Linked DNA regions of Struthio camelus. Each later gene encodes a partner of the first gene's protein in a complex. Links are inferred from orthologs where the notes say so. Each region holds a gene or a part of one and is shown in the gene's direction. Other genes may lie near its edges.

Region 1 (10,167 bases):
GTCCCTGTTCAAAAAAGTAGTAAAGCCATAAATAAGTTGGCTATGAAGAATGTTCTTTTTCCTACAATTGCTGTAAAAGATTTGATCTATGTCAAGGTATGAAGTGGGCAAGTATCATGAGAGGTCTAGCAGTTGCAGAGGTGTAACCAAGGTTCCCTCTTAACAAAGCTTCCTTCTACCTTTCACTGGAATTGTGCACTGGAAGATTATCTTATGTGCTAGAGAATGACCATATTTCACCCCTTCTTGGAGGTGCTGTACCTGGAACATTAAGTATACAGGAGTCTAAATGCATAAAACACACCATTCTCAAAAAAGTAACCCATAACTGCCATGCCTCAAAAAAACCCCCAAATTCCCTCATATCACGGCCACCCCTTTAAAAAAAAAAAAATACACACACACAAACCCACTACCCAAATCCCTAAGCTGTTTGAACATTAGTATCATATTTCAGAAAACTGAGCCCGTCCTGTCTTCTGACAGTTGTTGGCAAGGTTGACTCTGGAGGGTAATAAAAACTAACCTGTAGAATATAAATCCAGTGTTTTGGGCTCCTTTATAAATTTGTGTTACTGGAGGAGAGGAAGAAATATTTTATGGTAAAAGGAATACATACAATGAAGATATTAATAAGATAAAAACAAGGAAACTCCACCATGCAAATGTCAGGCAGTTCTGAAGCACTTTGAAGGCACAAATCTAGCTGGAAGTTTCCAGGATGAAAGTCACTATCAAATTATAGCTTTCCTGAAAATACGTGATCAAAGGGCAAACATTGACATCAGTAGCAGTTAGCCTGCAATAGTAACATCTATAGTATTAGCATTCCATTAATTTTGTAGACCAGTTAAACTTCAGTATTTAAAAGGTCAGTCTCCAAAATGCCTACAAGCTAAGACAGAAGGGCAAGTTCCACAGCAGATACGTAATACAGAGCATGTACATGACACAACACTTGGCAGAACAGGACACAAATGTAAACAGAACTACGGATCTATGGTCAAGGTTTCTACCACCCATTCTAGAGAAAATGCTTTAGTTTGCATCGATAATAGGCTCCTGTTCACTACATGAAACAAAACCCAGTAGCAAACACAGCAGCACTGAGACAAGGCAAGAAGGCAAGACAAGCACTGAGACAAGGCAAGAAGTTGCCAAAGTGAGAGGGGGAGAAAATAGTTATTTTTGCTACCTTATGTTATTTGAAAAAAGCCAGGGAGGTTTGCTACAAGAATTTTTTGCTTCATTTTTGACTCAGAAATACACGTATGACTAACTTTGCCTCTTCTCATTTTCTGAAATGTCTCCTAGAAAGTCACAGACTCATCAATCTTGATTGAAGACAACCTGAGACAAATATGTTTTCTTCCAAACATGTCCTAGGCCTTCAATCTACCTAAACACTTTAATAAAAATAACTGAGGATAAAAAGTTAAATAGTCCTCAAAGAAACTTGCGTATTTCCAATTTAAAGGTAGGAACAAAAATCTTTTTAGTTACACTTTGAAATGATGTTTTCCAACAAGAGTCTTCAAGAAAAGGCTTCAAAAAATTAACTTGATCTCAAGTAGCATTACCACAAAAACTTGATGTTGAATGAGGCTGAACAGAGACCATTTTCCCCAGCTTAACTTATAGAATAAGACTAGAGAGGAAGAAAAAGAATAGTAAAATAACTAGTAATGAGCATGGAAAAGTGAGGGGAAAACTAAGAAAATATGAAATAACTTGCTTTCTTTTTTTTTCATTTAGTGTTTTAAATGTCATTTGTGTCCCATTTCTAGGGTGAGTGAGCACAGTGTTCTCTCTTATACGTGTTTTAAGGCAGGAAGGACGGTCTTGTGTTTGAAGCAGAAGACTAGGAGTCAGGCAACTGAGGTTCCCCTGGGGACTCTTGGATCTCTTGCTCTCCTGCACAGCAGCCCTTCAACAGCCTTACACAAAAGTTTTTGCGTCCACAGAGCGGAGGTAATACCTTACAGAACTGATATGAACACTAGCTGCATTTGGAATACACGGTAAAGTCTCTGAAGTGTTACATAAGCGTAGATGTTAATATAGACGTACATCGCCTGGTACAGGCTGAGCTGTATGGAAAGCACAAGCAGCCACTGACTTCAGTAAAAGTCTTCCTGATACATCACCAGGGGAAAATCAATTATTCTCCCTCCTCCCTAACCCTAAAACAGATGCGACTCCCCCCTTCCAGAATTGTTGCCTTTACTTTGAAGGTCCGAGTTTCATTTTGCAGCCGGTTCCCTGCTTTCTTTACCGGGAAAGTCGCGTACTTGAATTTTACAGGTTTTTGCTTTAAAACTGCATTTCCAAGTCACATTACCATCCATCCACTTTTAACACCGAAGTCAGCTGGGTGCCCGACAGGACATAAAACACCCCCGTCAGCACCAGGGCTCCCGCAGACGAGAGCAGCCTGCGGCGATCAGCCCAGCCTGCACAGCAAGCTGCGCACGGGCAGCGGGTGCCGGCCAGCCACCCCGCAGGAGCCGCGGGACGCCGCAGCCGCCACCGCAGGCTCCTCTCCGCAGCCGCACCAGGCAATTCAAACCTCGCAGCGAGGCCGCTCCCGGCCCGGCCCTACCGCTGCAGCCGAGCAGCCCGGGCCCCTCCGAGCAAGGCGGGCAGCCGCGGGGCTGCGAGGCGCCGCGCAGGGCCGACGAGTGACCTCAGGACACCTCCGAGGCACACCGAGCAAATCTCACGCCAGCCGGGGCAGCCTGTCCTGAGCTGACACCGCCCGCCACGCCGAGCAGCCGGCTCCTAAGACCCGTCACCGGCGGGCCTCGTCGTCTGCGGCCGCGATTCAGATAAATTAAGTTTCGTGCTGCACCTCCCTAACCTAACCCAGACGCATTAATCCTCGCACTCTCCCAACAGTCCCCCACGGCGCCTGCCTGCCTCCTTCCCCCCCCACACCCCCCATTCCCTTTCTGCAAATCCCCAATAAACTTCCCTCTCTCCTCCTCCTCCTCGGCCGCCCCCTCCCCCGGGAGGCGGGTGGGGCCCGCCTCGCCGCCACCTCCGCCGCCGCCCAACCGCCCCTCGCGCGCCCCCTCCCTCCGTCCCCCCCCCGCCGCCTCCACCACCGCGCGGCGCGGGGGGGGTGAGGAGGGGCAGGCCAACGGGAGGAAGGCGGGGGGGGGAGAAGGAGGAGAAGGGAAGGACGAGCGTCGCGAAGGGGGTTCCGCGCGGAGCAGCCAATGGGCGGCGGGCAAGGGGGGGCGCCGCGCGCGGCACGCCGGGAGGTGTAGTTCCCCGCCGTCGCCATTTTGTGGCGAGGGAACTACAACTTTCCCGCGAGCAAGGACAATTCTCGGGCCCTGCGCGGAGCCCCGCCGGCGAGGCCAGGTGCTGCCAGCGCGGCGGGCCCCGGTGCATGCCAGAGCAGGGGGACGTGAGGCGGGGCAGGGCAGGGCAGGGCAGGGCCGGGGCGGAAGGAGAGACCTTGGCAGACAGGAGGAGTGAGGCTGCTGCGGGGCGGGGAGGGGAGGGGGGCAGGGCAGGGCGGCCGAGCGTGCTGTGCGTTGAGGGACCGTCGCCAAATTCCCCGCTCGGGCTGTGCTGCAGGGGGGCAGCGGCGACCTTGGCCGCCGAGTGGCCGCACTTAAAAACCTTAAAAAAAAAAAAAAAGAAAGAAAAAAGAAGACGAGGGGGGAAGAAGGAAAAAAGAAAGGAAAAAAAAAAAAAAGGAAGGCGTGTGACGCTTAACCTGCATGAAGTGTAAGCGAGGCCTGTTGCATGCGTTGAATGCAGCGAGGCCGGGTGTTGCGGCTGCTGTCCCGGTTGGGAGTTAAGGCCAAGCCCTATCTGGGGTGTGTGTATGTATGTGTGTGTGTGTGTGTGTGTATATATATATGTATATACATACACACACACACACGGGCGCGCGCGCACACACACATACACACACACACATACATATATATTAAAAAAAAATCAGGTCCATTTAAAGTTGCTGCCGGAGAGCTGTTCTCATTGGTTAGGGGGAGCTGGAGGAGCAGAGACACACACAGTGCGTGCAGCCCTCGCTGCTGCTGCTGGGGCTGCTGCTGTTGCTGCTGCTGCTGCTGCTGGGGCTGCTGCTGCTGCTGCTGCTGCGAGTTGTCTCTGCTGCTTTCCCTGCTGCAGCAGCACAAACGTGACTTCCAACATTTTTATTTATCTTCTCCTTTCAACCCCGTTCCTTTTCCAAGATGTAACTACAGCTCTGACACTAAGGACCTGCAGATCGCTTAGGTGGCTTGAGCAAGAGAAAAGGGGATATCAAGGGCGTCGTTTTTTGTGTTTAGGGGGAAATTTTCCATTACAATGTTTCACTAAAGTGATTTTTTTTTTTGCTTCCTTCGCATTCGTCTCTTCTTCTTCTTCTTTTTTTTTTTTCATCCCCCATATCTCGGATTTATTGCTAGGAGAATCACATTGTGAGGAAAGAAAGTCGGATTACAAGATACCACTACAAACAACCCCCTCCCCCCAGGATTTTTCGGTATTTTTTTTTTAAATTGTCGCGGCTTTAATTCATGAAGCAATTGTCCCCTTTTGCAATCAGAATTTGGATACCAGAATGAGCAAAGAAAGACCCAAGAGGAATATAATTCAAAAGAAATACGTAAGTGGTCATAACATATATCATTTGACTCCCAGTTTTAGGAAATGGCAGTGAATGTCAAGTTTATAGCTAATCCTGCAGCTCTAAGGCTTTTAAAACAAATGTAATGCTGAATTTTATTTTTCTGTGGTGTGGTGGGGGAGTTTCATAGGCCCCTTTTAATGGGAAAACCTTCTATGCAGTTTGGTTATAAAACCAGATTTGTGTAGCGATACCTCCAGTGAATAAATGTATTGACCTCAAATGACACAATCATAATCTAGTTTTAGATGAAAGGCAGGGAGCTCGGGGGGCTGCTGTGATAATGTAACGAAACTGCATTTTCAAGCGGTTTTATTAATATTGCGCTTTGCATGCAAAAGAACATATTTGACGATATGCGTGTGTATATATTCCTGCCTGGTGAAGCCACTGTGGTTGTTGAAAGCCCTTTAAGTTGAAATCGAGTGTCTGGTTATGGCGAGCTTGTTTCTTGCACTACCACATCAAATCTAATGTATGTGATCGTTTGCTTATCTGGCTCGCAATAGAAAGCAAACCAGTTGGGGATCGTGTTGCAGGGAATGCGTTTGTTGGGATTGCCTTTAATAATGGGAAAATGGCTCGGTGTAGTTTAAAAATTCATTATGATGGCTTGAAAATTTGGGAGAATACAGTGCAGCCCGGGCTGTATTTCTGTCTCTCTTTATTCAACCGCTTAACCAATCCCTCGTAATTGTCTAATCCTTTAAACATATAAATGTGCATGGATAGTTGGATTTTTGTTCGTGCTCCAGTTACGTTTTGATTGGCATAGGGGAGTTTTTCTTTACGTTTGGAAAAACTGAGGGGATTAGCCAAATATGCAGTAGAGCGAATAATGATTTTTATCTGCATGTTTAAAAAATTCTTCATTTTGTGGAGAGAAAAAAAAGGAGTTGCTTTAGGGTGTGTGTGATGCGACACTTAAAAAGTTGTAGTTTATATGGTACGTATCATTTGTGCTATTTTTTTCTGCGGGGGGGGGGGATATGTGTGTTTCTTTGAAGGGAGGGTGACCTTCGGGACACTTTACCTTGTTATTATATAGATTTCATAAAAACTGCAGTTGACTTCAGATGACTGTTTCTATCGATTTTCGACCCATTAAAATGTAATTTAGAGGGACGTGAGATTAAACAATAATTAAAAACTTCAGCCTATTCTCCGCCGAATTTTCGAATTAAAATATATCCGCATTGCAGAGGAATTGGGAGTCTGAAGCTGACTAGTTTAAAGTATTGCATCCAAACAGGAACATTGTGTAGAAAGTCTAGCGAAACATGTAAGACGTCCACGTTTCCCAGGCAGTGAAACAAAGCAGAATGGGGGGGGGGGAGGGAGGAAGGAGGAAATTGTGATGTTAATAATTAAAAGGAACAGGGTGGGGGTAAACACCCCCAAACCTGTTATTTCTAAAACCTTTCGCAGGTTTGTGGGAGCGAACAATGCAGCGTTACTCTGGCTACACTCATAGCGCTGGGCAGAGAATTAGTAAAACTACTGTCAGCCCCTCAAGCCCCACGGGGGAGGTATGAGGTACACATGTGAGCATGCTAGGGGAGACAATGTATCTTGTGTTACAAGTTTTAACTTGGCGGCGGCAAATCGCTTTTTTCCCTTTTTTTTTTTTTGCGCCTCTTTTTCCTTTTTTTTTTTCTCTTTTTCCCTTCCTCCTCCTCCTCTCTTTTTGGAAGGGGGAAAGAGAGCGAGCGCGGGGAGGGGAAGGCGGGGGGAGAGTGCGGGGGCGAGCGGGCTGCCGTGCGCCTCGGCGGGGGCGCGGGGGGCGGCGCGCGGCGGGGCGCGCTGGCGGCGGCGGCGGCGGCGGCAGCAACAGGTTACGCGGGATGTCAGCGCGAGCCGCGGGCTCCCGGCCACGCCGCCCGGCCGGGGCCAGGTTCGCCTCGCTCCCGTGACGTCACAAAGGGAAGGGCCTGCGCGCCGTGGAATCTTCGTCGCCTCGGCGCTCCGGGGCCCCCCCCCCTCTTCCTCCTCCTCCTCCTCCTCCTCCTCCTCCTCCTCTCCCGCCCCCGGCGTGACGTCAGAGCCGAGGCGGGCCGCGGCGGTTGGGGCGGGGGGAGGCCCCGGGGCGGCGGGGGCCGAGGCCGGCCTGGCCCCGCACCAGGTGAGCAGGTGCCGGGCTCCGCTGCCCTGCCCCGGCCCAACCCGGCCCGGCTCGGCCGAGGGGCGCCCTGGTGACCGTGGGCCGCCCGGTTTGGGGGCGCCCTCCCTGCGGCGAAGGTCTCTGAGGTCCTTGGGCCCCGCTTCCCCCCCCCACCCCCCGCCGCCTCCTCCCCCCCCCCCCCCCGGTGGCGGTGCGCGGCTTGGCAGCGCCGTGGGGCGCTGCGGGGCGAGCGGCGCCCCCGCGGGTGGCGGCAGCCCCCGGGATGCTGGCGGGGTAATGACATGGCATGACACCTTTCTTTTTCCTGTGACCTTTTGAGCGGTGCAGCATCATAGCAGAGCATGCTGGGCAACGGCTTCCTCCTAGCAAATGCCAGGCAGGTCTTTTGTCTGCCTGCTCGGGCTGCAGGTGCGAGCGAGCGCGTGCGCACCCACAACTTTGGGCAGCTGTCACCTGGCCCCAGCCTTCGCAAAGGTGACTTGCGCCGGTGGCTGCACGCGTAACCCGCCCTCCCCAGTTAGTCTTTCCTCTTTTTGCCTCTTCACCAGTAATGTCCTTCGGCTTCGCGTTGAGGCGCAGTTGTTGATCACACACAAAAGTGCGTCCTGGGTCTTTGGGTGACTCACAAGTTGGGAGTCCGCGCTCAACGCTTCAGTAGATCTGGAGATGTTGTCGTTTTAGGTGACCTGGAAAATTTGCCACTTGAAGTTCACAGTCGCTGAGGAAAGGCAGTCCCTCTGTATTTTACTGTCATGAGTAATCTTATGATCTCTTTGTATGGAAGAGCTGGCTGCTAGGAATTCCTGTGGAGCTGCTGTACGGGAGCAGAACAATGGTCCACCTAGTGTCATATACTGCCTGTGTGGCTGGCTGAATGTGATGCTTTATGGTAAACAAAGGTCTGAAGTAAGAAGGTATGACAGTCGTGCTAGTGAGTAATACCTTGTCATAAGTAGCAAGACGATGAGCAAACCCACTCAACTAAACAAAAACAAAGTACAGGCTTGGTGGTGTGCCACAGAGCTGAGATCCTCACATCACTGCCGACTGTCATATTGCAACTGGCGTCTGTTTAGACCATTACTTTTCATTTACAAAATGAATTCTGAAAACAAAAAGGCAGTGAGAACAATGGAGTAAAACCTACGTGTTGTAAGCTGCTTGCTGCTTCCGTACAGCTTGACTTGCTGCTTTGTAAATAATGGTAATTAAAAGTTCCTTTAAACTTTGAATGTATTATCTTTGCAACTGTTAACCCAGGAATGAGGAAATCCGTGTATATATGTCTTTTTTTTCCCTGCTCTTTAAAAATGATATCACTTAATTTTTAAAAGAACTATGGCTGACTCATACAAATCTTTCTTCTCACTTTACCCTCCTCCTTCTCAAACATCTTTACATATCAAATATTGCCTTTTGGCTCAAGCCTCAGAAAACTGACAGCTTTGTAAAGCATCAGCCGAGAAGCCAGACTGCATTCGGTATGCGCTTGGAATTAATAGTTCTTAAATAAAAACCTTTGAAGTCTTAAGCATAATTTCACAGGTGCATTTTTCTGCCCGTTTTTGTGATGTCAAATAGCAAATCTTCTGTTCTTTCTGGTTTAGGTCTTGAAGTAACAGACCTGGATTACTGTCTTAAAATACTTGCATAGTTCTGCCACGGTAGCAGATGGCAAAATATAATTAAGTAATAATGTCACTACTGTCTCCTTGTGTGATTTGTTTCGTTGTCCTTGCAGAGGTAAAAGTGCTGTAGTCTGCCATAAGGTGACACGCTTCACCTAAAGACAGCCGCGTAAGCCCCTCAAACAGGGTCAACGGGGCCTGTAGAGAATTAGTGTATTGCAGACATCTGAGGAGAGCTCCTCTCAGTGCTGCCGGTTTTTTAAACAACACTTTGTGCTTGGGGGCGTATTTATAGCACGATCTGAAAGAGCGCTACATATGTTTAAGTAATACGTGTATAAATTGTGTTACAGCAAAATCCTCAATATCTCTGTGAGAGGAGCAGGCACGAAATTGCCTCGCTTATCAGATCGGGTTCTTGAAACCCGGCTGCTGCGGGATGCCGCCAGGCTGCAGGTGGGTAGGTGGGTGATGGTGGCCTGTGGGGCTCCCGGCGCCTTCCCCAGCGCTGTGGGGTGGGGGGCTGCCCGGGGCAGGGGGCAGGTGGTGGTTTAGGGCTGGCGCGGTGGTAGGGCAGCGCCACCTCCTGAGGGACGGACGTTTTGTGTGCAGGGGCACAGCAGACTCGGGGTGGGTGCCTCCGTCCCCCCAGGGCTTCAGCCCCTCCATGTGGGGTTTCCTCTTTTCCCACCCTCCCCCCCCACCAACGCTCTTGTCCAGGCCCAGAACCAAGGGGGTCTTCTGAGTCCTTACCAGTTCCTGCAAGGAGATAGGTAAACCCATCGGTGATAGCAATAGTAGCATTCATTATGCATTGTTGTTTATTTCGGATGACCTTCTGCAGCTTTCTTACGCTGGGTGTTTCTTAGGTTTGCGGTGACAATTCCAGTGTCACACCTCCTTCTGCAAAATAGCATGCTGTGGGTTTTTTTTTTAATCTGTAGATTTTTAGCTAACAGTGTAAGAATGCTAGTCAGGCTTAAGATCTGTCTTAGTTTGGGTTCTTTTTAAGCTCGTTAAGCTGGTCTGTTGAGATGTTATGTTGCTGGTGGCTATAGGGTGGCATGAACTAGAAACTAGTAATTTTTTTTTTTTTTAATGGACATGAACTATCTACTGTGAACAAATGCCTCGCACTGAGGTACTAACAGACTCCTGCTCACTCCAATGGACTATAAGCCAGAAGTCTGTGTAAGATGCTCTCCAGAATGAATTCTAATGAATCAAGAGCCCTGTGAAAAGTTCTTAATGATTCATTAGGCACTTTCACCTCTTTTAAGAGGTCTGCTAAGCCAGTATTAAGAATATACTACCCTTTCTTTTTCTATGGAAGTAAAATAATAGTTAATATTATGAATGTTAAAGTGTGGTATAAACGTCAGCTGATTTTGTAATGCAGTAGCTTTCCCTCCATTTTATTGTTTGATGAAACAGAAAGAAGTCTAAATTACTTGCCTAAAGCAACATACTGTAACCGTGGCAGCGATGGAACTAATCTGTATTTCTGCAATCTAGTCCAATACTCTGTCCTGTAGCTTATGCTATCTTGCTATAAGGCACAGCATCTGCTACAAAGGCAGTACTTGATGTGGTTCAAACTTTCTCTGTTCAAGGCCTTTTTTCCTTAGTTACGGTCTGGACTCACTGTTAGATTGCCAGTATATTTTTAACATAATACAAAAAAAAGCAAGATGCATTTCAGTATTGGTTCTTCATTTTTTTTGAGTGATGATCATACGCTGCAGCTGATAAAGACCAGTTGATAA
Region 2 (9,963 bases), on another chromosome or scaffold:
AAGAGCACATCTCATTTTTAGCTTCTGGCACAAGATGACAGGATTAATACTTAGATAGATATACCAGTGTAAAAAATATTGCAAGTCATGTTTGCTTTTGAAGCAAATTCTGAGTTGGTTCTCAGTGGTGCCAATAATACTCATACTAAGAGTTCATCTAATACTCAACTAATAGCTCATCTTAGCTACATAGTACCTATTTTAAATTCTGTGTTTGTTTGGGTTTTTTTGCAACAGCTTATAAACCCTATAAATGAAAAGCATTATGAGGCATTCTAATTCCTTGAATTTAAAGCCACATAATATTTCACTTATAAGGAATCTTCATGTTTTCTTACTTGTTTTGCTTTTTGCATTTGTTTTCCTTCAGTATCATGTGGTAGCAAATTTAATGTTACTGTAGACTTTAAAGAAGAGGTTTTATGTATTTGTAATGTATCTGATTCCTTTTGATTATATCACAGTGTCTATGGAAAGTGGGCTTCCTCTTACTATTTGTACTTATATACAACTTAACACAAAGATGCCCTGGGTTTTCAGGGTGTTATGGTAGTATAAACGCAATATAATTGATATTAGAACGTGTTTTTGGATAACCTCCAGAACGATAGAATGGGGTTTCCCATTCCTGAACCAGCTATTAATTCTTTTTGTAGCCCTCGTGATTTTTAAATTTCTCTGTTCCTTGTTTTTCCCATTCCCCAAATGGGCATAGTTACATTTAACTGAGCTGTCTGGAGTTTTCTCAAGTTTCATGATCCAAGATCACCAGAACGCCATTTAATTTTTTTCTCCTAGTTACCACTGAAATTAGCTCTCTGGTCTAGCTCATGGCATGAATTTCACAGCCAGCTGTGCAGGCCCAACAGAAGGGGCAGTGTGTCATCAGGAGAGCTGTAACAAAACATGGGCAAGGGAGGAGGCGGAAGAAGGACCCTAGCAATATTGCCACAGAGTGTTTTGTAACGCTAGTCTACAGCCTCAGCTTTGGGTCACAGCCTAATGGGGCTATAGAAGAGGGACTCTAGGCAAACATGCATTCCCAGCAGGCTTCCTCGAACCAACCTAACTGAGACGTGATGTTTCTTATGGTCATTGCCCTGCTTTCTAAACAAATATGGGGAAAGATTAAAGGCAACTTTAAAAAGAAAAAGAGTGCAGGGAGTTTAAAGGGAGGATTAACTGGCTGCTGGAGGAGAGGGTGGGGTTAGAAATGCAATTGAAGGATGAGGTATGAGGTAGTTTCAGTTTGGTCTGAACAGAAGGGTGAGAAATGAGTGCTGGATGCTTAGCTGAAGGAACGGGAGGTTGCAGCCTCTTCCTCGAGACCTTGGATTTGGACAGGGCAGGGTGGGGCACAAAGGGAAGGGTGCAGTGTCCAGAGGCTGCTGAGCAGGCAGATTATTGTGAGCAAGGTGAGTCATGAGGTTCAGGCAGCAGGAATTTCCTGCAGTGTTTAAGACATACATGCGGAGGCAGGAGGAGGAGAAAAGAGGTCAGTGACCAAGTGTCTTGTTTTACAGAATTTCCCCCATGCATTCTAACAAGTACAAGACAGGCTGTCATTTTTCCTGTATCTTATGCCTATGGTATTTTTTTCCCTCTCTTTTTATAGACCTTTCTCTCTGTTTTGAAATATTTTGTTTGCATACTATACCTTATAAGAGTATCTTGATGCTGATCAACATTAGGAAAAAAACTCAAAACATTGCATAAAAAGTACCAAAGCTGAGCTACTTCTGATGATCTCACTGAAGTGTCCTTTAAAAAAAACCAAAAACCTGCAAAGTTGCTGCGACTCAAGAAAAGAAATTACTTTTTCGGAGTGCGCGTGCTCATCATTGACTCTGCTGTCAAAGTGAATGCACCTGCACCTTTGTGTTCCTGAGGTAAGACAATAACAGGTATGCTCTTAATTTCTTCTCCCTGCTCTGCTGTGTCTGCAATGCAACATAAATCTCTCTCAGAGATTTGTTAAGCTTGTTGTTTGTTCTTCTGCTAGTGGAGAAGGATTCTGCTTGGACGCTTTACCACGAACAAGCTTTAGCTAGCTTATCTACTGACTTTTGTTTACTTTTGTACCTTGTTGAGAATATCTTTGGAGTACCAGAGATTAGCATGTCTCATCATAAGTCCTTCAGCTTTAAAGTATTGTCTCTGTTGTAATAGGATCATACCAAGTTAGACCGAGCATACCGGCAGCCCTTTGTGTGAATGAGAGAGTAACATCCACCCTTACAGTGTAAGTAAGTGGATGTGTAAATTCTTTTTTTCCTAAAGGATTTCCTAACAGCATGTCCCTTGCTTTGAGCTTTCATTAGACCATTTAAATATAACTAATTTTGATGCTTTTGCAAGTTCTAGACTCACCTGTTCTCACACAGAGCTCTTCTTTCAAGACTGGAGCCAGGGTTTCAAAAAGTCAAAAACCATAGAGAAAAAGGAGATTGCCTTTGCTAAGCTGGAAAATTTGTCACAGGAAAAACTTCAATAACAAGAGACTCAAGTCACCATTGCTGCTGCTTGTATTTGATTGACTTTATTGCAGTGCTCAAGCACCAAGTCTGGATTGAGGATTTGGTGGTCCTGAAAACAGAACAGCACACCAAGAGATCATCAAAGAGTATTCCTTTGATGACTGCTGCAGTACTAACCCCTTTGGTACTGATCTCTTGCTTAAATGCTAACTGCTTTCCATTAGGCAGACTCCATACTGTCCTTCCTATTCATTTGTGCCCTGAGGTTCATTTCACTGGCCCTCTTTGAATAAACAAATGACTACCTAATGAACTGGCATCTCTACTGCTCCACTTAGGAGAGTGAAAAGTGAGAGGTCTGAATCAGCCAGTATGCTTTTGGTAAATAACAAATACGAGGAACCTTGGGGGCACTCATGACCTCAAGAAACCCAGACGGATAATAAAAAAAAAGAGTATAGAAATTTGATATTGTGGAATGTATTTGGACAATGTACACTAAGGTACATGGAGTTCTTTCAGATAAATAACTTTTTTTTTTTTTCTTTCCTTTTTTGCTCATATTCATAGGTTGTGAAAGGTGCCTTTTATGTAGCTCCATTACACGTTTTTGGTTTCTCATGACCTGGTACCTCTCTGATTCTGTCCCTCAATGCTACTGACCTTTAGACAACTCTAGAAAGGAAAGGAATTAATGGGTAAAGAGGCATAGGAATTGTTCTGGTTACTGCTGCCTTTTGACTGAGTCAAAAGGGTTCTCTTTTTCTTCTAAACCTCACTCTTACTGTGTGATGGGACTAGTGACAGTAACAGCCATGCAGGAGTGCCACACCTTTGTAACTGAAGGGGGAGGTATAGAGCAAATTGTTTCAGGTGGGGAAACGGGGGCGAGCAGAGATGATGCAGAAGCTGAGAGTTTGGTGACTATTCTAATGGACTTAGTAGAGCAATGATACATCTATTAAATAGATTAATTGGGATCAAGCAGTCCTCATCTTCAGTCTTGTCTACCTGCTCATTTTAAGCATTCTTACCAGTTCCATTTTCTAGACTAGTTCCATTCCAGGCTGAGTCTGGTTTCTAGAAATCTGAAAAACTATCATGACTTTTTTACTGTTGTTGTTTTTTAAAAAAATTGCTTATACTCATCCGCGCATTAAAGATGTTGTTAGTTTGACTTTAAAATTAATTCCATGCCCTGTCCCTTCGCTCCGGTACCGTGTTGCTCTTTCACTACCGTGACATTCTATTTTGATGTTGCTGCGCTAGAGATTGCTGACGTTGCTGCTAACAACTACTTTGTTGATGGGCTAGAAAACAACTCCAGTTATGCTAATGTAGGTCTTAGGAGCACCCTTTCCAGAGTTTAACCCAGTGCGGTTAACTTTTGCTTGAATGTAGGATCTCTGTGGATATGCCGGATACGCTTGCTGTAACTTGAACTGGTGATGTTCTTCCTATTATGCAGTTTGCACAATATTGTTTCTGGATTGAGTTGTGGTTCTGTGTTTTGTTGATTGCTTTTAAACTAAACTACCACCACTTCATAATTTTTTAAATGTGGCAAGCTCTGTAAGAGTTGGGTAAAGACTGACAAGATGTGCATGTGACATCTAAAACTCATATGGAATGGTATGTTATGCATTCAATTATTCCCCTCATCCCTCTAAAAATTTGTCAAACTGCCTAATTTCATCTGTTTTTTTTTCCTTTTCTACCCACCTTCCTGTTTTACTGCAAATCCCCCTCCTATCAACCTTTTCTAATCATTTCCACATGACAATTTTATCAAGTATTTCTTAATGTCTACATAACTAAAACGCTTGTCAAATAGCCAGTCAGGTTAGTCTGACATGATCTAACGTTAGTAAACTTTATCCCATTCTATGTTTACATTAAAATGCCTTTCTCAGTTGTTCTGAAGTCTTTGTATGTGATTGACAATCATCTTTTCATTTATCATTCACCTTTCCTTCTTAAATACATGCACCACATATTGTTACTAGATGGCACAGAGCCAAACTTAACAAGTTTACTAATCTCTGTCCCTCCAAAATGAAACTTGGTTTATCAAAAAGAGATTATCCAGTTTCCCCAGTTCTAGTACACTAAACTGTTTAGTTTTACTTCCACTTAAATGCAATCATTTCCATTTTGCATTTGCCATTAGTCAGTCATACTGCTTATGCCCCCACAGCCAACACGCTCCTTACTGAAGATGGAGGTTTCAGGCCATACCGAGTTTATTCTCTTTGCTCCCCCCTCACTGCATAGCTGGCCTACTTCTTCATCCCATTCCGTACTGCTGAAAACCTTTTTCTGTCTCCTTTGTGCCTCAGTTGAGCTTGTCTTTTGACAATTCCCACTCAGTAATGTCACATCTTGACCTGTACCCTGTAGCTCTCTTTGCTGAGGAGCCTTGTTTTTCCCTTTCTCATAAGCTCCATATTGTCCCCTCCTCCGACTCCCTTTAGTAACTATTAGTCCAGTCAGGCCTGGCGTCCCTACAGCTTCCTCCGCTTCCCCTTTCTTTCATGGATAGAAATTTCGCTAAGTTTTTTTCTCAGCTGTGGTTCCCGCTCTCTTTGCCCTGGCCGGCCAGCCGGCTACCCACAACTACCGGGCTACCCAACTTCAGCTTTTTAAAAAGATGAGGAGCCTGCTGCGGCAGTGAAGCCGGGGCTGCCGCGCCGCTGGGGTTATTTGTGCGAGTGAGGGCAGTGAGGGCAGGCGACGAGACTGCTGGCGCAACTCGCGGCCGGGAGGGACTTGTTCTCCCTTCCCGGGCTCGTCCTGCGGGACTTCCCCCTGCCTATGACTAAGTAGCGGCTCTGCCCACCCCCGCGACGCGGTGATTTTTCTGAGGGGAAGGCTGCTGCTGCTGCCGCTGCCGGGCGATGACGCGCCCGCTGCGAGCCGTTGGGAGCGAGGCAGAAGCCCCGCCCCTCCGCCCGCGGCGGGCTCGGCCGTTAACGCCCCTCCCGCGCGCCTCCCTCGCCCCCTCTGGAAACGCGACGCGAGGAGCCACTGCTCCGCCCTTCCGAGGTTTTTGTCCCCGGACGCGCGCCGTAGCGCGTGCGGCGACGGCAGCGGCGGGCGGCCCGGCGCCCCTCCTCTCTGCGGCTCGCGCCGCCGCGCGATTGTGCGGGTGAGGAGGGCCAGGGCGGGGGGAAGCGCGAGCAAGCGAGCGGGCGGGCGGGCGGGCGCGCGCGCGCGCCCGGGACACACGCACGCCCCCGCCCCCTCTCCCCCCCCACCCCACCCGTGCGCGCGCGCGCGCGCGCTCGCAGCGACTCGCAGGCGCCATGGCGGCCGCTCTGAGCGACATGGCGGAGCCGGAGGGGCTGCTGCTGCTGCTGCCCGGCGAGGCGGCGGCGGCGGCGGCGGCCGCCGCCGCGGCCGAGGAGGAGGAGGCGGCGGCCGCTGCCGCCGCCGGGGCTGGAGCCTCGTCGTCGCCGTCGTCCTCGGCGGCAGCGGAGGCAGAGTCGCTGCTGCTGTTGAACGGCGAGGCGGAGAGCATGTCGGAGCCGAGCCCGGAGAGCGCCAGCCAGGCCGGGGACGGAGAGGACGAGGACGACGAGGAGGAAGAGGAGGAGGAGGAAGAGGAGGAGGAGGAGGAGGAGGAGGAGGGCGGCGAGGAGGAGGAGAGCAGCCTGGTGGGCAGCAGCAGCAGCAGCACGAGCAGCGGCTGCTGCAGCGACGAGACCCGCTCGCTGAGCCCCGGCGGCAGCAGCGAGGCCGACGCCAAGGAGGAGCCCAAGGGCCCCCGGGGCAGCCAGGAGGACGGGCTGGGCCGCGGCGGCGGCGGCGGCGGGAGCAGCTCCAGCAGCGTGTCCAGCAGCGGCGGCGACGAGGGCTACGGCACCGGCACCGGCGGCGGAGGCGGCGGCGGCGGCGGCAGCAGCGGCAGCAGCAGCTGCAGCGCCACGTCGGGGGGCCGGCGGGGCAGCCTGGAGATGTCGTCGGACGGGGAGCCGCTGAGCCGCATGGACTCGGAGGACAGGTCAGTGCCTCCCTCCGCGTCCCGGGCCAGGGCCGGCGCTGGGCTCCGCCGGTGGCCGCGGCCCTGCCGCGGGCGCCATGTCCCGCCGCCGCGCGGCCCCGGGCTCCCCCGCGGGGGCCCCCGGGCGCCATCTCGGCGGCGGCGGGGCCGGGGCTGTCACGCCGCCCGCGGGGCGGCGGCGGCGGCGGCCGGCAGCCACAGGTTTCCCAGGCCAACTTGTGCCGCCCGGCGTGCGGGGCTTGGCGGCGGGGCAGAGCCGGCCCGCCGCCCCGCCTCGCCCTGCCTCGCCTCGCCTCGCCGCGGCTGTGCGGGCCCTGCCGGCCTGCGGGGGCCCTCGGGGGCTTCTGCCGCTTCTGCCCCGCCGACCCGGGGCGTGCGCGCTTGCGAGGGAGCCGCCGAGCTGCTGCAGAAGTCACTCACTTGGGTAGGTGCCTCGCTGATAACCGCCGCAAGTGCCCCGCTGGGTTACGAGCAGCACGGAGTAACGTGTGCTTAGGCGGTAGTGGTTGGCTGTTATTTCCCTTGGAAGCTGGTGTTTTCTCTTTGGAAGATGCTGAGGTTGTGTCCTGCATTGAAGGGCAGGCGGGATGCCCTAAAGCTTAAGGGTAGGAAGTGTTTTGTGGGCTTGTTCTGCCTGCGCCCGTGTGAGCCTCTCCGTGCTACGAACGAACAGAATGTCAATCTTTTCAAGCGCAAGGGGGAAAAAATAGCTTTTCCAAAATAAAAAGGTAGCTAGTCTTTCAGTATTAAGCACGCACAAGAAATAAGCCTGCACAGTATTAAGCGTGGCGTAATAATCAAATGTAAAAGTTATCTCTGTAGCAATGAATGTGAAGATTATTTGGGGTTTGGATCATCTTTCTTGTACTGAGACTTTAGCTTAATTCTTGTGGAAAGGCACAAATTCTTGCACGTGATTGAATTCTACCTTTCAGGTATTGTCTAGTCTATTATGTCAAGTACTTCTAAAGACTGTGGTTTATCTAGTGGCTTTTTCAGATGTATGTGCTATGGTTTAGTTGACAAGCTGAAGATAGGTTGCTTAAGCTGAAGATAGGATACTTAAAATAGTGTAGGTCTCTTTTCTGGTTTGTCCTTTCAAACAGTTTAAGAAGCTAGTGTGCTATTTTTCATCTCAGTTTGGCCTAAAAAAAGTATCTCATTTCCCTGTTAGAATTACAGTTAAGTAAAAACTACAATCTGATTTAAATCAAACAAACTTTTTCTTAAGACAAGTTCATTGTTAAAGTGTGAAGAATTGTGTGTCTTGGTCCAGATACGTATTTTCCGAATACATTAGACTGAATTCCGTATACCTATACAAGTACCCGTATTTCAAAAGTGTGGCGTCAGTAGATCTAGCCTCAGTTATTAAAAACAACTAAAGAGAACCCCTGTGAGTCAGTTCCCCAAAACCATGTAATTGGCCTGAAAGTCTTCAGACTACAGAGGAAAAAAATTCAGTTCTTTGGTTTCCATCTGACTTTTGAGACTTTAGGGTTCACTGGGGCCACGTTTTCTTTTCTCCATACTGTGCAAGATTAGAAAGCTTTTTTTGTGTGTGTGAAAGCTGAGATTTTACATGAAATCACATAAATACGGGAGTAGGCTTCTGGAAAAAACAGCAGATACGTAGTGGAGTTTTAAGATAATCTTTTCTTAGTTTTCGCCTAATCTAAATCTGATCCTAATCTGTCCCGAGTCCAGACCAATTATGAGTTTAGAAAATAACAGAAATGAGTTGCACGGGGTTTTCTGGTGGTAGAGTTGATGTTATGTCTTGCTTGTGCACTCTAAAGCCAGTGTCCTACTTTCTTTCTCTATCATTGTTTTTGTGTTTCTCTTGCTGTAGTGACATAGTTATATCTATGTGTATACCTCTTTGTTGCTCCTTTGCAATACCATTGGTACAGATTCACTTGCAGGAGTGAATCCTTTGTATTCAGCTGTTTAAATAAGGACTGTACCTTCTTTTCAATCTTCGTAAAGTTTTGTCTTGAGCTTCTAGGCGGAAAACATGGGGATGCCAGGAAGGCACTGTAGTTCACAGACACTTCACTGTAATTTCCAAGCCTGTTAGTTGAATTGGACAGGTAAAGAGCAATACTACTAAGAATGCCATTTGTTATTCCTAATGATGGAAAATTTCACTTTAGGTGCACTCCTTGCTGCAGCCTGGTAGACTGCCTTATTATTTTTGCTACATGTAGCCCAACAAGTTACTTGCTTGACCTACTGATCCAAATGACTGCTGTTCCCTGGCAGTGAGTCAGAAAATAGCATGTGCCTTTTAAAGGGTCAGCCAGATAAGCAGAGTGTTGTAGAAGGTAGGGGATGTGCAGAAAAGCTGAAGAACATGAAAGGTAGGATGGTGAAGTACTAGGGAAGAGCTGGGGATAGTTTAGACTTATAAAGGGACGTACAGGTTTATGATTAAATAATAAAATCCTTAAAGATTTAACCATTCATTCATTTGGGCATCTTTGTATTAAAGTATAAAATCTGTGACTAATAGAGAATGATATTTTATCTGTTAAGTGATATTAAATTTATCTGTTAAGTGTTATATGAAATAGTATATTTAATGGTGTTTCATGATCTTTGACTAATTGTGTCCTGAATAGAACTTCTGAAGTTCTGCCTCTGTAGTCCTAAACAACTTGGCCGATGCTTGTCTCCGTGTACTGCATAGTATGATTACCTGGGGGAGGGAAGAGAAAGAAAGAAAAACTGAACCAGCATGCTTGACTTGTATAGTCCCAGGATTAAGCAAAGGGAAACTAGTAGAAGGGTATAGTTGGTAAAGATTCTCCTGTTAAGACTGCTGTAGGCAGGTTTGGTAACATTCACGTCGTGCCCTCAGGCTTGGGATTTCTTTTTTGTGCTTCCTCTTTAGAAAATTTGAATAAATAAGAGGGTGTGGTGAGAGGGCCTGAATTCCATAAGTGATCAAATTCCTTTTTCTCTGTGCATGCTTTTATCATGTTCTGCAATTATCAATGAATTATCCATGTGATTTTTGAGTGAGATGGTATGAAATATAAAAATATACTACATGTGTTTGGGTCATTCGCAAGTTTTTCCTATTCAGCAGAAAATTTTTTAACTACTGTTCATCTACTGTTAATACTGATATTTTGAATGGATTTTGAGGGTATGTGTTAATAAAAAAAAAAAAAGATGTTTGGGGGCATTACTATAGGAAATTTGTAAGTATTGACAACAATAAAAGAAACAAACATAATATCAAAAAATGATGCCCTGAAATTTAGGGTGAATTTTAACCAGCTGTTTCCATGCAGATAGATTTTATACTTTGTTTAAACAAATAAATCCCCACCACCACCAAAAAAAAAAAAAACCTAAAAAGCAAAATCCAAGCTGGTAGTAGGATAACAAGATGGCATTTTCAGCTTAGTATTAGTGGTCACTGGTCAGCGTAATAACTGTAGAGTGATTACAGATCAGACCAATTTCAAAATA

What was found. The genes of interacting proteins can lie anywhere in the genome.
Region 2: the proteins of JARID2 (region 1) and AEBP2 are in contact, whole or in part, in a cryo-EM structure (PDB 8VNZ), measured with the Homo sapiens proteins. The link is inferred for Struthio camelus from reciprocal best matches to the Homo sapiens genes JARID2 and AEBP2. Residues at the interface, in NP_004964.2 of Homo sapiens: Ser148, Lys151, Pro152, Lys153, Thr154, Glu155, Asp156, Leu158, Thr159; in NP_001107648.1 of Homo sapiens: Arg407, Ala410, Ile411, Asn414, Leu415, Glu420, Ser421.

The regions. Positions count from the first base shown.
Region 1 is NC_090943.1:98,477,315-98,487,481, forward strand, and holds the start of JARID2 (protein Jumonji), read left to right. Parts: upstream 1-6,081; 5' UTR 6,082-6,096; coding exon 6,097-6,180; intron 6,181-10,167.
Region 2 is NC_090942.1:73,481,325-73,491,287, forward strand, and holds the start of AEBP2 (zinc finger protein AEBP2), read left to right. Parts: upstream 1-5,782; coding exon 5,783-6,480; intron 6,481-9,963. UniProt on the Homo sapiens protein: Acts as an accessory subunit for the core Polycomb repressive complex 2 (PRC2), which mediates histone H3K27 (H3K27me3) trimethylation on chromatin leading to transcriptional repression of the affected target gene.